Tamandua tetradactyla: one gene and its partner. The protein of the gene in region 1 interacts with the protein of each later gene in a pairwise test. Links are inferred from orthologs where the notes say so. Each region holds a gene or a part of one and is shown in the gene's direction. Other genes may lie near its edges.

Region 1 (7,154 bases):
CCAAGCCTTCAAAAGAAGAAAGTTTTAAAACAAAGGTGTGGCCCTTCCTGGCGATGTGGGACAGAAATCCTAGAATGAGCTGAGACTCAGCATCAAGGGCTTGAGAAGACCTTCTAGACCAAAAGGGGGAAGAGTGAAATGAGACAAAATGTCAATGGCTGAGAGAGTCCAAACAGAGTGGAGAGGTTATCCTGGAGGTTATTTGTACGCTTTAAGTAGATATCACCTTGTTAGTCAAGATGTAACGGAGAGGCCGGAGGGAACTGCCCGAAAATGTAGAGCTGTGTTCCAGTAGCCATGTTTCTTGATGATGATTGTATAATGATATAGCTTTCACAATGTGACTGTGTGATTGTGAAAACCTTGTGTCTGATGCTCCTTTTATCTACCTTGTCAACAGATGAGTAGAACATATGGAATAAAAATAAATAATAGGGGGAACAAATGTTAAAATAAATTTACTTTGAAATGCTAGTGATCAATGAAAGGGAGGGGTAAGGGTATGGTATGTATAAATATTTTTTCTGTTTTCGTTTTATTTCTTTTTCTGAATAGATGTAAATGTTCCAAGAAATGATCATGATGATGAATATGCAACTATGTGATGATATTGTGAATTACTGATTATGTATGTAGAATGGAATGATCAAAATAGGAATGTTTGCATTTGGTGTTTTTTTGGTCTTTAAAAAAATAAAATAAAAAATACATATAAGAAGAAAAAAAGAAAAAAAAACCCTCTGTTTTGAGGTACCTCCTCCTCATTTAGCAACTGAGAAAAAAAAACCCAGCCATATCGGGTGTGGGGGAATGGATGTGATCACACTGTCATTCCTAGGTGGACTAAGTGCACTTGACCTTTAAGAGGCAGTGGGGAAATGGAGGAAAGAAACAACTAGGTCACCAGCTTCCTAGGCCTTTTTTTCCTGAGATGAGCAAGCCAAATGACTTTCCTTCTAATCTGCCTTAAGGGTTCTCTTGCATATCAAAGGGACCCCTGGGCTGTGTCTGATCTTGGGGAGCCTGAGAAACAACAAGTACAACTGTAAGTATTTAACCATTTCTGGGCATATTCTTTTTTATTTAATCCTAAAGGGTTAAAATGACTTGCCTAAGTTCCCAAAACCATGTGAGAAAGCTAACAGATAATATGAGCTCGGGAAAAGAGAAGAAACCAGTTAGCAATGTAGCTTGTACTCCAGGACTTGGTTCTGATGTGGCACTTTGAGTACATCCTCAGTTATCTTCCTGCAGCCCACAGGATGAAACCCAAATTCCCTGCACAACTGGTCCAGTTTACCCTTCAGCGTTGTTTCCTACCTCCATTTTCCCCACACCAGCCTCCTGTTCCCTAAATACACTAAATATGCATCCTCTCACCTTCTCCCCTTTCTGTAGTGAGCAGACTCATTCTTCCAGGCCTGCCTCAAATAACACCTCTGTGTGAAGCCTTTCTTTACCCTCCTTTGCACTCATTGCATTTGCCTCCTAGCTCGGTGGCAGGACCCATCACATCGCACACCCCACTTTTCTGAGTCTGTAACCCTTTCCAAGCTGAAAGCTCCCCAAGGCCACAACCAGGTCTGATTCTGCTCTAAATTACCGTGGCAATAACTGGCACAAAGTAAGCTCTCTAAACCGTGGGCTGAATGCGAATGCGTGGGTGGGAAGTGGCATGACCTTTGAGGTGAAAACGCTTCGATCCTACCCACCTCTTTCTTCGTAATGAAGAACCCTTATATGCCTATCCTATTTCCTGGAGTGGAAATTCCTCTCATCTTCCCTTGTCTCCTAGCCTGACACCCCACTTCGGGGGCCGGACCTTATCCCCAGCCCTTTCCCAAGGTGGATTTTTCCTCTCTCCTCTTAAAACGTAACTGGAGAGGTAGGTAGCCCGCAGAACGCGCCGAGGGCCCTGAGGCTGTTGCCTTAAGGATTTTCCCTGCAGCGCGAAGCCACTGAACTGTTCCAAACCGCAGGGGTGGTGACAGGATCAGACTTTCATTTTGAAAATATCACTGTGTCCGCAGTGAGGCGAAGCGGTGCAGTGAAAGCCCTTAGGAGATAAACCAGACCTGGGCGGTCGGGGAAAGACAGCCGAAGGGTGGGGGGCTGCGGTTCCGGCCCACTGCGCAGAGGCGCCGCTCAGCGGAAAGCCGAACCGGCCCACGTGGACCCGGCCGCCCCGCCCCGCCGCGCTGACGCCGCCCCACTCCGCAGTCTGGGCCTGGGGCTGGCCGCGCCGCCCCGCAACTCGCGCCCCGCGCCCCTCGCCCTAGCCCACGTGGACGCCCAGGCCGAAAGACACCCCCACCCCTCGGCCCGAGTGGGTTCCCGTAGGTGGCCGGGGTGGAACCAGAACCCGCCGCGCCGGGGCGGGCTCCTCTCGGCTGTGAGTTGGGGCCCAGAGGGGGAGGGATTGCGGCCCAGCCGCGGGAGAGGGGGAGTTGAAGCCTCCGCCCAGCTGCCTCTTCTGTAGAGGTTAGGGAACGGTGGTCTCTATCCTGTGTGTTGGCGGGAGTGTCCCTCTCTGGTAAGGCCAAGCAGGAAGGGAGGCCCCCTGGGCGCCCCCATCCTTACAGAGTCCCCACCCCCATCCCGGGCAGATTGCGGATTAGTTCAGGGAGAGGCCTGATCCTGGGGTATCTGGGCTCCAATTTTGCCATCTCTGATAAAACGTGATCCTTAGCGCCACCCTCACTCATCCTAGCCTGCTTTATGGCCCAAACCTAGGAAAAATAAAAATTTTGCACAAGGAAAGATTTCCAGGCACCTTCCAGCGAGCCTTTCGTAAAGGGATGTATATGTGGTGGGTGGGGGTGGGGGATGGTGAGGAGGGGATGCAGGTTACAAAGGGATCATTACTCAGGACTTGTCCTGGCTACTGGATGTGGGGAGGGACCCTGTCCACCTCTAGTACCTGTTGTGCATATAGTATCCCGCACTCTTAGTGATAATCGTCAGTCTCTCTAATCCCAGTAGTAAGTGATCAGAAGAAATCGCTTGTCAATTCAAACCCTAATTTGGGTAAAAATCAGTTATTGGAAAAGGAAAAGTGATGTGGCATGGCCACTCTCCAGGGCCTGTGGATAGAGCAAACCAGAGGCAGGGACACAAGATGTAGTCATGTTCCAGGGGAACTGGAAGGGAAGTGGGTGAGCTCAGAGGAGAAGTTTGTCAATGGGGGGATTGGGGGGGGCACCCTGGAGCAGAGGTGGGAACTGAAGCCAGCTCTTCTAGTCCTGGGTAGTCAGCAGTAGACTCCTGCCACCATCATCCTGGGCAGGGAACTCCCAGGGGAGTCCCTGCTCCCCTATTCATTCACTCAGCAAGCATGGATTGACCAATTTGCTAAGTGCTAGACTCTGTGCTGGGTCCTGGGGATGTGATGGAGAACATCAAGGAGCAAGCAGCTCCTTGGGGATCCAGATTTACAAGGTACCATTACAAGATAGTTGAAAAAACAGTTACATAAACATTTATTGATTTTCAACTATGTGCCAGCAACAGGAAGCAAACATGGATAGTACAGTGTGTACCCAGGGCAGTGGGAACCCAGAAGAAGGCATAATTAACTGTGGGGGTGGATGAGTGGGAGGGTGGTATCAGGGGAGTCTTCAGAGAGGTGAAGATAATTGGAATTGAGTTTTGAAGTAGGTGAAGGAATGTGCTGGGTGGAGAAGGAGAAAGCTTAGAGGGAAGAGGAGAATATGGGCATTGTAGGCCAAGCAAATTGCTTGAAAAAAATATGGTGTGTTCTGAAATCTCTGGGTAGTTTGTTGGGGGAGGGCCAGAGTGGCAAGAGGCATGTCTGGAGAGGTGAGCAGAAGGTGGATCAAGCAGGGTCTTCTTGGCCATGTAGAGAGGTTTAGCAAGAGTTTAGTGAGGGCGCAGCTGCAGTGATCATTCAAATTTATATGTTTAACTGGAGGCAGAGAGATCAGTGAAAAGTCTGTGTCAGTAATCCTAGGAAGAAATGGCCTGAACCAAATGAAATTGTGAGGAGATACATACACATACTCACACACACACACACACACACACACACACACACACACACGAAGGTTTTTAAAGAGGAAGAATCATGAGAATTGTGTGGCCAATTCAATGGGGGCAGGACGGAGAGTGAGGGGTCCAGGTTGCTCCAGGATTCTGACTGGGGTGACTGAATGGGTAGTGGAGCCATTTTGCTGAGGACACTGAAAAGAGGGCTGGTTTGGATGAGTAGAATTTGGAGAGCCAAATTCTAGGTTAAGGGGTGTCTTTGACAGTTAGATAGCAGCTGTAACTGGACTGGAGACATATGGATGGTTTGAAGCTACAGCAGAGGATGAGGTCATCTGGGGAGAATGCAGTTAGAAGAGAAGAAAACCTGCTTTGGAAGGCTGAGGAAAACCTGCTTTAAAAGGCTGCCCATTTAAAGGATGGGCAGAGAAGAACCCTGTACTGGAGACTGAGAAGGAAGATTCAGAGAGGGAGGAGAAAAACCATGAAGTGGGGCTATTATCAGGGTCAAAGGAGAGGGACTAAGAGCAGCCAGCCTCATGTTTGCCACTTTGTCTTGGCAGCTGCAGTAGCATGACTTCAGTCATCCCACCCCGTCTTGCTGTGACTCATTCCTCTGCTTCCCCCTTACAGACCAGATGTTTGCCATTCAACCAGGGCTAGCTGAGGGGGGCCAGCTCCTGGGGGGCCCACCTCCTGGGGTATGTCAGCCTGACTTCCAACCAGACAGCAACTCCAACTTCGTGGCAAATGTCAGAGATGCCAATGAAAACTGGCATGGGATGCCAGGCAAAGTGGAACCCATCCTGATGGGGAGTTCCCCTGAGTCACCCTCTGACAACAAGGCCTTCCAGGACCTCGAGGAGGAGATCCGTAGTCCTCCAGAAGGGGCAGAGATCCCCAGGGCTGAGCTTGAGAAGATAGTTGGTGGCAGCACAGTCTGTTCCCCACTGGAGGACAACGGCTATGCCAGCAGCTCCTTGAGCATTGACAGCCCTAGCAGCAGCCCTGAGCCAGTCTGTGGGACTCCTCGAGGCCCTGGCCCTCCAGATCCTCTTCTGCCTTCAGTGGCCCATGCAGTGCAGCAGCTTCAGGCCCAGGAGCGCTACAAAGAGCAGGAGAAGGAAAAGCACCATGTGCATTTGGTGATGTACCGTCGCCTGGCCTTGCTCCAATGGATCCGGAGCCTGCAGCATCAACTGGTTGACCAGCAGGCCCGTCTGCAGGAGAGCTTTGATACTATCCTTGTCAACCGAAAAGAACTTATCCGTTGTTTCCAGCAGGGGGCAGCACCAACCCGCCCCCAAGACCAGGGCTAAGGGTGTAAACTCCCGCAGGTGTGCAAGGGTATGTGTATATATTTGCAGGCATATGTGCATGGTTGTGACAAGTAAGTATATGATTATATGCTGGCATGAGTGAGTGCGTATATGCCATCATATTGGGTAGATATGCAAGTAGGTGCAGGTATGTGTGAATAAGCACCTTGTGCATGAACTTAAGTATGCTGTGGGTGCACATGTACATGCATAAGCTAACTTAGTTGCAGACCTATGTGTGAGTATGTAAGAGTGAACATATGTATATGTATAACACGTATGTAACAGTAAGTTTGTATATACATGCATGGACAGGTCCCCATCAGTGTGTGTATATGTTACAAGTAAGGATGTATATGCAAAATGTGGTATATGAGTGAGTTTGCGTGTGCAGGCTTGTTTTGGGTGTACATGAACGAGCCCTTGTATGTCCAAGTCTTAAGTGCAGGGGTGCATGTATGCAAGTGCAGGCATGTAAAAGCATGTATCAGGAGCATGTGTATTTGCAGACAGACATATGAGCAGGTATGGGCAAATATATATTCAAATGCATGTGTGGGACATCTTTCTGCACCCTGTTACCTATGGCCCACCTCAGTTTTTTTTCTTCACAGGGTTCCACTCTTTCGTGAAGAGAGAGGGCTAGCCTGCTGTCATTTAATCTGAAGGTTGTGGCTGATCCATTCTCCTTCTCCTCACCCATCCCAGACCTTGTTCTGCTAAGGCTGTTGTTCCTGATGGTGGATTTGTGTAAGAGGTTTGATGCCAGCTTCGGCCTACCACGGTAATTTGGCTGAGATGTTGTCAGGGCAGTTGGCAAAGAATTGATATCAGTAAGGGGAATGGGAGGTAGTGATGGAGAACATGGCAGAGGTGGGGGTGGGGTGCCAAAGGAGGAGATGGGAGATTGTCCGTCTTGAACTCTGCCTGTAGATACATGGAGGATGGGACTGGGAGAGATGCCAGTGCAAAACTCTGTGAAGAACGGAAGAATGGCAAGTCTAAAATATCAGCCCCAAACAATCTAGACTTCTCCACTGAGAAAGGAGCTGTTGAAAACCATATTAATTTAAGCTTCTGATAAAAAGGAATGTGTGTTTATAAGTTTGTAACAAGTGTTACAATGTGTTATAAGTTAATGGACAAGATGTTCCAAGAATATTGGGAAAAATTTCTCTCTCTGTGCCTCTGCCTCTCTGTGCCTCTATGGCTTTAGCAACATTAGATATCAAATTGGTCTGCTCCATTTCCCTGAAATCAGACTGAGTCAGGAGGAACCAGAGCTCAGTTTTCCAGGGTGGCAGAAAGGAGTGGCAGAAAGCCTTAGGAAGCTCTTAGAATACTCCTTTTGATCACTGCCTGGTCTTTTAAACAGGGGTGGACAGGCTCCAACAGAAGCCCCATGAGGTGGAGAGTGTGTGAGTCCTGGGGAAAACCAAGGACTATTGTAGCTAAATTCTCTCTTTCGCTTCTGGGAGCCAAGAGAATCTAAAATCGTGGTGGGTGAGCAGTGGCATAAAGGAAAAACACTGGCCCTCAATCTCTATACCTGTAAAATGTGGGACTTCTTCGTTACTATCTCCAAAGAATTCCATCCCTGAGAAGTGGGCTGAAATGTATATGGAATGGAGTGGGAACTTAGTGTCTGTAGCTTTTACATGTTGAGTGTGAACCTTGCCTCTGGACCAACCCTAGATGAATAAACTGGACCAGAGAAATAAATTTCTTGAGTATGTGTTTCTTATTCTGCTTGTTGTCTGGTGACCTCTTTTCCACTTTACTTTTTGAGGCTTGGGAGGTGAGGGGTGGGGGTGGGGGTAGAGACACTGG
Region 2 (7,154 bases), on another chromosome or scaffold:
GTCCAAAAAGGGAGGGTCTAGAGGTTCCCCAGATGGGGACTGGGGCAGGGGTGGTTCATACAAAGCCTGGATCTCAGGATTCTTAGGGCAGAGCGGACACCCGCGGGGAAGCTCTGCAGGACAGATCTTGGATTGGGGGCCCTGCGGGGATCCCGCCGGCCCCTCCCCTTCCTTTATCTCCACCCCAAGGGCTAAGAGATCACTTCTGAAGTTCTGGATTCCAGTCCGAGCTGAGAGCGGGGCGCCTCTCCCAGCCTGGGGTGTCCTCCCCAAACTACTGCAGTCCCAAAATCACCAAAGAAATCCCAGCCCGAATAACGGACTGGAAACTTACCGTGAGCCGCGGGAAAAAGTCAGTTGGAGTCAAGTCCCTTGCTTGGGCCTCCGTGCCCCGCCCTTCGCCTCCCTCCTTCCACCCTCTCGAGGCCCCCGCCTCCCTCGCTCTTACTCTGGCTCACTCCCTCCTTCTATCGGATCCGGAACCCGCCGGCTCTCCCTCTCCCTCTCTCTCTCTCTCTCTCTCTCTCTCCCCCCTTCTGCCTCTCTTTCTCTCTCTCCTGTCTGTCCTTACTGTCAATGCTTCCTTCTCTCTCTGTCTTCTCCCAATCTCTCTTTTCACTCTCCTGGTTTCTCTTCCTCTGCTCCTCTCAATATATACTGACCCTTTTATACCCACTCTCGCCGCACCCAGCTGATGTCTGCAGCCAGAGGGTGGGCCCAGGCTTTTGGGTTCCTCATTCTTCCGGCCCCCACCCTCCACCTCCAATCCGGCATCTTCTGGGGCTTCCTCCCAGCGTTGAGATGAGAAATCCTCCGGGACGGGGGAGGTTGGTGTGGGGGGGGTGGGTTGTGGGGGGGGAGTGTCAGGGGCTGGTAGGACCTGGTTCTGTTCTCCATCTCTTGTCCTGGGACTGCTGGCACTTGGGACTGGTTACGTGGAGGCATGGAAGTCTGGGCAGGGAGGCAAGTTTCCTGTGGAATGGGCAGCACAGTGGGTGTCAGGGGCTGGGAGAAGGGATCTGGAGATTCTGGAATGGGGCAGGAGTTGGAAATTAGGAATCCCAAAAGGCTCCCACCCATCCTGGCTGGGTGACCGCAGGCCAATTATTTCCCTTCTCTGAGCCTTGGTTTCCTAATCTGTGAAATGGACATTATAACGATAACACTGACAAAATACTGCCACTCATTAAATAATACTTGTGATACTGTTAGGAGGGTTGCGTAAGGTGGTGCTGCCATGAAAGCTCTTAATGCTTTCTTCCTCCCTCTAATCAAACTTTCTTCGATCTCCTATAAACCAGGAATTAATAATGAACACAGCCAAGACGATTCCTGCTGCTCTTATGGAGTTTACCGTCTAGCACCGGGAGATACACAATAACGGAAAAACAAATCAATGAGCTAAGTAAATTAAGGACAGTGATAAATGCTTTGAAGGAAATACAATGAGTGATGGAGATAATGATGGGGTGGGGTGGCTACTTTAAACAGGGTGGTCAGGGAAAGCTTTGAGGAGATTTGAGCTGAGATCTGAAGATAGGAGTCACTCAAATGCTAAGAGGAGAAGGAAGCAGCTAGTGCAAAAGCTTTTGAGAACAAGCTTGGGTGGTCTGGGGAATAGACAGAAGGCTAGTGTGGCTGTAGCCCAGAGAGGGGGGTGGTGAGAACAGAAAAAAAAGGGGGGGCCCTTGAGGCCTATGAGAGGAGTTTGGATTTTATTCTCAGTGCAGTGGGAAGCCATTGGACTTTTTGATACAAGAGTTTTATGATCTGTAACTGAGAAGTTAGGATTTAAGGGATGATTATGGTTGTTGAATCATTATATAGCTGTATATTGTTTGCTTTTTAGTACATGGGAATAGATAGAGGGAAATACCTGAAATGTTTGAACTGTAATCTAACCGCCTTGATCTCTGATAATGAATGTACAGCCTTTATCTTGATCCGTGTGATTGTAAAAACCTTGTGACTGACCCTCACTTGTATTTTTTTTTTTTTTTGACTTTGGAGTCTTGTGATCACTAAAGACAGCCCCTAATGTTTATTAATGAAGGATCTTGGGTCAGCCCAGAGCTAACCCACCCCAATTCCAAAGTTATCTTGATTACCAAAGCTGGATCTAACCTTAATCGGATGGCCTGACACGCGCAGTATCTTAGATTTTAAGCCATACTTCACCTGTACCTCATGATAACACTAAAAATCATGCCCATCATCATATCAAAGCCACTATTTTCTTACATATGTTCTGTGACAGAGCACATAATCAATCAGTACATGCTCAATAATTATATCACCTCTCGTTACAACAGCCAGAGTCATTGTGCTCATTTTCCTAAAACCTGTTCATCTTTTGATACCATAAAACTATCAGAATTAGCTCAGTTTGGGGAGACAAATTTTGGGCCCATAGGCCATCTGCTCTCCTGTTTTGTGCCTAGCAATAAAGCCTTTCTCTCTTTGAAACCCCTGTGTCTCAGGAATTTGTCACTGAATGCATCAGGCAAGAACCCACTACCCTTGTCTGGTAACAGGCCCAGAAACTTAATGTTAACTATTATTATTTATTATTGGGTTATTGAACTAGGATGGGGGTGATGACTAGGTGCCTGGATCTCCTGGAAGGGTTGGGTGCTGGGGATGTGTCTAGTCTCCTGAAAAGTGAGGGCCAAGGGTTCAAGTGTCTGATGTGGAATTGAGAGCCAGGAAAACTCCAGTCCTGGATCCCTGAAAGGAGCTAGGGGTTGGGGAAAGTTGTTGGTCATCTGGGGTAGTTGAGCTCAGTGACTGAAGACCCAGAAGTGGGGGTATCAGTATAGCACAGACTCTAGAGCCAGACTGGCTGAATTCAAATCTAAGCTGCTTTACTTCTTAAACTCTCTGGGCCTCAGTTCCTCCATTTGTAAAACAGGGATAATAACACTTCCATCCATCATAGCACAGTTCTCAGAACAGTACGTGGCACACAACAGGCACTATATGGGGCCCTGGGTGGATTCAGTATTGGACCCTAGTTCAAGGTCTCTAAGCTTTGGGTAAGGGGCAAATCCTGGAGGAAAGCTAAGACTGGCAGTCCACAGACGGCGGTTTTGAATTTGGATCCTTAGTTAGAAAGTCTAGGTAACTGATGGAGTGCAGGAAAGGGGGCCAGGACCAGTGGAACCTAGGATTAGCAGAACCAGGGACGAGTGAGATGGAAACTTGAAACGGGAGCTGGTTGGAATCAGCGCCAGATTTGGGTACCCGGGGGATGTTGCGGGTCTCCCAAGCCAGAACCCTGCAGAAAGGGGAAAATCAGGAGATTTCAAGGGCGGTGGTGAGATCTCCCCGTCCTGAGGCCTCGAGGCTTCACGCAGTGCTGAGCGTCCAAGGGCCGCTTCCTCCCACAGGAAACCGCAGGCGTCAGGCACACCCAGCCTGCAAGGAGCTACGCCCACTTGGGGATAGCCCCAGGTGGGCAGCTACTGGTCGCAGAGGGGGCGTGACCACAAGGGGGCGTGTCCGGAAGGCGGGGGCGGCTCGAAGTGACGTAGCCCCGCCCATTTCCGTGTCTCAGTGCGCGGACCGCGACGGCAGCCCCGGGTTTTTGGCGGGTTCGCTGGAGGCCGTTGGCCGCGCATGCGTGGCGAGCCGCTGCGAGCGTCTGAGGCGGTGGTGAGAGCTTTTTCCCTTCACCGGTCCCTGCTAGGGGATCTTCTCAAAGCAATGTGGTCTTAATCAACACAGACCCGCACCTCTCAGACCCCGTCCCCGAGGACCTCGTGCTGCCTCCAAGCTAGCGCTTTCCAGACGTTTCCTCCCAGCCATGCCTCCACAGGCTCTTTCAGCTCCCGCCTTTACCCCCCGAAAACACAGCACACCCTACGCATGCCCGCGACACTCCCGAGACCCTCTCAGTCCCGTGCTCCCCACCCATGCCATCTGGACTTCCCACAGTCCCTCCGAGTCTGAGCCCCTGCCCTGACTAGCCCCGCCCCTCACAGGTTCTTCCGGGCCCGCCCCCGCCCCTCGCTGGCCCTCCCCGCCCCGCCCATCAAAGCCCGCCCAGACCCTCCAGCCCCGCCCACCCAAACCTTCTCACCACGCCTCTCGCGTCACCACAGCCCCGCCCCGCCCCACCCGGGACCCCTCCTATCCCGCCCCTCAGCCCCGCCCACCAAGGCCCGCCCCGCCCCTCCCGACCCCGGCCCTCCTCCCGCAGCCTCGCCCCTTGGCTCCGCGGCGGCTGTCCTCTGGCCTCATTGGTCCCTTATCTCCCCAGTAACCAGGCCACAACAGTGAGCTTGGAGCACCTAGGACAAGTCGGGCATCCCCGCAGGTAGGGCGCGGGCTCGGACCCCCACAGCCGGCCGGGGGGTTCCTCCTCCTCGGTGACCTCCTTCCCCATACAGTCCCGCCTCGGAGATGCCGAGTTCAAAGACGAGAGTGCGAGAGGCTGGGGCTGGAGGGGTGGGGGGAGAGGCCCGAGGGATGGCCCAGCCCACCCCCTCGGGGGGATCGAGTCCGAGAGAAGCCCGGGCAGGTTCTGGAGTCGCCGTCTTGCGCCGCCCCCGTCCCGGCTGTCGCCTGCTGCTCTCTGAAGGGGTCTGTGTCGGCCCCTACAGGAGCCGCACCCTCTTCGGCCGAGATGCCCTTGGGACTTTCGGCAGGGACCACCCGCTCCGAAGACGAAACCGAGACCTTATTGGAGGGAATGGGTAATTCCTCCCTCCTTTCTTTAGTCCACTAGTTCTTTTCGCGTCCTGAGCTTTCTCCAAGTTCCAGGTCCTGCGCCGCGGCGAGGAGGAGGCGCCCTGCAGGGTCCCATCCCAGATGGGTGGGCCGAGCCTGGGGGTTGGAGGGAATTAGGCAGACCTCGCAGGAGGGCAGGTTTGAGTGGGGCGCAGGGCTCCTGCCAGGAGTTACCAAGAGGAGCAGGAACGAAAGGGTGTATCAGCAGAGAGAACAGTGACTGCCTGGAGCAGGGTGTCTCAATCCGCATTTGGGTCGAGACATTCTTGGTTGGGAGTGGGGGCTGTCCTGCGCATTGTAGGTTTAGCAGCATCCCCCACCCCAACAATCGCAGCAACTAAAAATATCTTCAGATATCAGCAGATATCCCGTAGGGATGTGTTTGTGTGTGTGCTGGGGACAGGGGTGGGAGGGAGGGGGCAAAATCATTCCAGTTTAAGCACTATTGGGCTAGAGCAAAGTGCTTTGACAGTGGGGAGTTCGGGGGTGAGAGTGGAGAGGTAGGTGGGTGGGGCCCTGAACGCCAGACTGAGGAACTGGGACCTTGTCCTGGTGGGGCCATGGAGAGTGGTGAGCCCAAGGGGCAGGGTCAGCTCTGGGTGTAGAATGAAGCCTCTGGGGCTGTGAGGGGCTGCCAGCAGGTTGAGGCCTGAACGTTGGGGTCAGGCCAGAGAGGGTCAGCAGGCAGGTGGTGCTGAGAGTTGCCAGGTTATGGGGGGCTGCAGAGGAAGGAGGGCACAAGGAGGGTGCAAGGATGGTGCCTGAGAAGCCAGCATCTGTCCTGAGCTTTCCTGAGTTTCTGGTCCCGCAGGGTTGTTGGGGACAGAGAGACCCACCAAGAGCACTCTCTAGTAGGAAAACAGATATATGCGGAACAGATAGAATGGGTTTAGGGGAAAGAACCTGAGGTCAGCTTGGGGTACAGGGAGTATGAAGGGGTGGGGGGAGCTTAAGGGCAGCTTGTGAGACCCTACGTGGACAAGAATGCCTAGGTCTTGGGGAGGAGAGGGTTGGGGACAGAGATTCTCATTGAGTCCGTTGCCTGGACCGGCCCTCAGCTGATTGGGAGTTGAGCAGATTGCAGAGGCAGTGCAAGGTGATGGAAGGTGAAAGGCGGGCCTACAGCAAGGAAGTCCACCAGCGCATCAACAAGCAACTGTGAGCCCATTGCATGGACCCCAGAGGGGGTGGTCGAGGGGGATCTGAGGGAGGAGGGCACGGGTAGTGTGTTGGCCTTTGGTGACGCTGAGCTCTGTCCTCTGGCCGGCAGAGAAGAGATCCGGCACCTGGAGGAAATGCGGGCCAAGCTCCAGCTGCAGATTAGCGTGGCCCAGAGCCAGGTCAAGAAGCTGCGGGACAGTGAGCGGCTGGAGCACATGGGCCGCCTGCTGAAGTGCCGGGCCCAGGCTGAGGAAGAGGTCAGGGAGCTGCAGGAGCAGACCAGAGACCTGGACAGGCAGGTGGGTATGGAGACCAGGCTCCAGGGGATCCTAAGTAGCAGCAAGTGCCTGTTCATACCTCCCTGAGCCTCAGCTTTCTCATCTGAGAAATGGGGCCACGGAAAGCACCCTCCCAGTAGGTTTGTGTCCAGTGGGTCAGAGACAGAAGATGTATGTGATGGCAGAGCAGAGGTCAGGGGATGCAGGGCCAGGAGCCAAGGCATGAGGGCAGCATCTAGAAGCTGGAAGAGGAATGGATGGTTCCCCAGAGCTGCTAGAAGGAATACAGCCCAGCTGACTTCTTGGTTTTAATCCAGCAAACTGATTTTGGATGCCTGGTCTCCAGAACTGTAAAATAATAAATTTGTGTTGTTTTAAGCCACTAAATTGGTGGCCATTTGGTGCAGCAGCCATAGGAACGAACTGGGCAGGGCAGTGGTGCCTCTGTGGAAAGGAAGATGGCAGTGCTGAGAAGGGCCACTCGGAAGGTGCCTGGGATGTCTTGGGGGTGGTGGTTGCAAGGACGTTCACTTTGTGAATTTATAAGTTGTAAATACATGTTCTGTGCACAAGATTTTTAAAAGGAAAAATAAGACGTTAACCGCCATGGACTTAAATGTAACATATACAACCTCTAAAACTTGTAGAAAAAGAGGTAGGAAAAAACCTTTGTGACCTTGGGTTAGGCAAAGATTTCTTAGATAGAGTGCCAAAAACATGATCTATAAAAGCGTGAATTGAAAAGCTGGAATTGTAAAAATTAAAAACTTGTGCTCTTTGAAAGACACTTTTAAGAGAATAAAAAGATAAGCCACAGACTGGGAGAAAATATTTGCAAAATATGTATCTGGTAAAGGTCTTGTGGCAGAATTTATAAAGGACTTTCAAAATGCAATAGGAGGAGAACAATAGAAAACAATAGAAAAAATGGGCACAAATCCTTGAAAAGACACTTCGCCAAGGAGATATATGATGGCAAATAAG

The links. The genes of interacting proteins can lie anywhere in the genome.
Region 2: the proteins of C2H1orf216 (region 1) and ODAD1 interact in binary tests that used the Homo sapiens proteins (3 or more experiments, as listed by UniProt). The two-hybrid records come from large-scale screens. The link is inferred for Tamandua tetradactyla from reciprocal best matches to the Homo sapiens genes C1orf216 and ODAD1.

Annotation. Positions count from the first base shown.
Region 1 is NC_135328.1:189,655,076-189,662,229, forward strand, and holds C2H1orf216 (UPF0500 protein C1orf216 homolog), read left to right. Parts: upstream 1-2,232; 5' UTR 2,233-2,392; intron 2,393-2,426; exon of another isoform or gene 2,427-2,533; intron 2,534-4,638; 5' UTR 4,639-4,643; coding exon 4,644-5,324; 3' UTR 5,325-5,352; intron 5,353-5,938; 3' UTR 5,939-7,056; downstream 7,057-7,154.
Region 2 is NC_135342.1:12,693,492-12,700,645, forward strand, and holds the start of ODAD1 (outer dynein arm-docking complex subunit 1), read left to right. Parts: upstream 1-3,564; 5' UTR 3,565-3,654; intron 3,655-4,261; 5' UTR 4,262-4,318; intron 4,319-4,604; 5' UTR 4,605-4,627; coding exon 4,628-4,697; intron 4,698-5,789; coding exon 5,790-5,889; intron 5,890-6,001; coding exon 6,002-6,191; intron 6,192-7,154. UniProt on the Homo sapiens protein: Component of the outer dynein arm-docking complex (ODA-DC) that mediates outer dynein arms (ODA) binding onto the doublet microtubule. Involved in mediating assembly of both ODAs and their axonemal docking complex onto ciliary microtubules.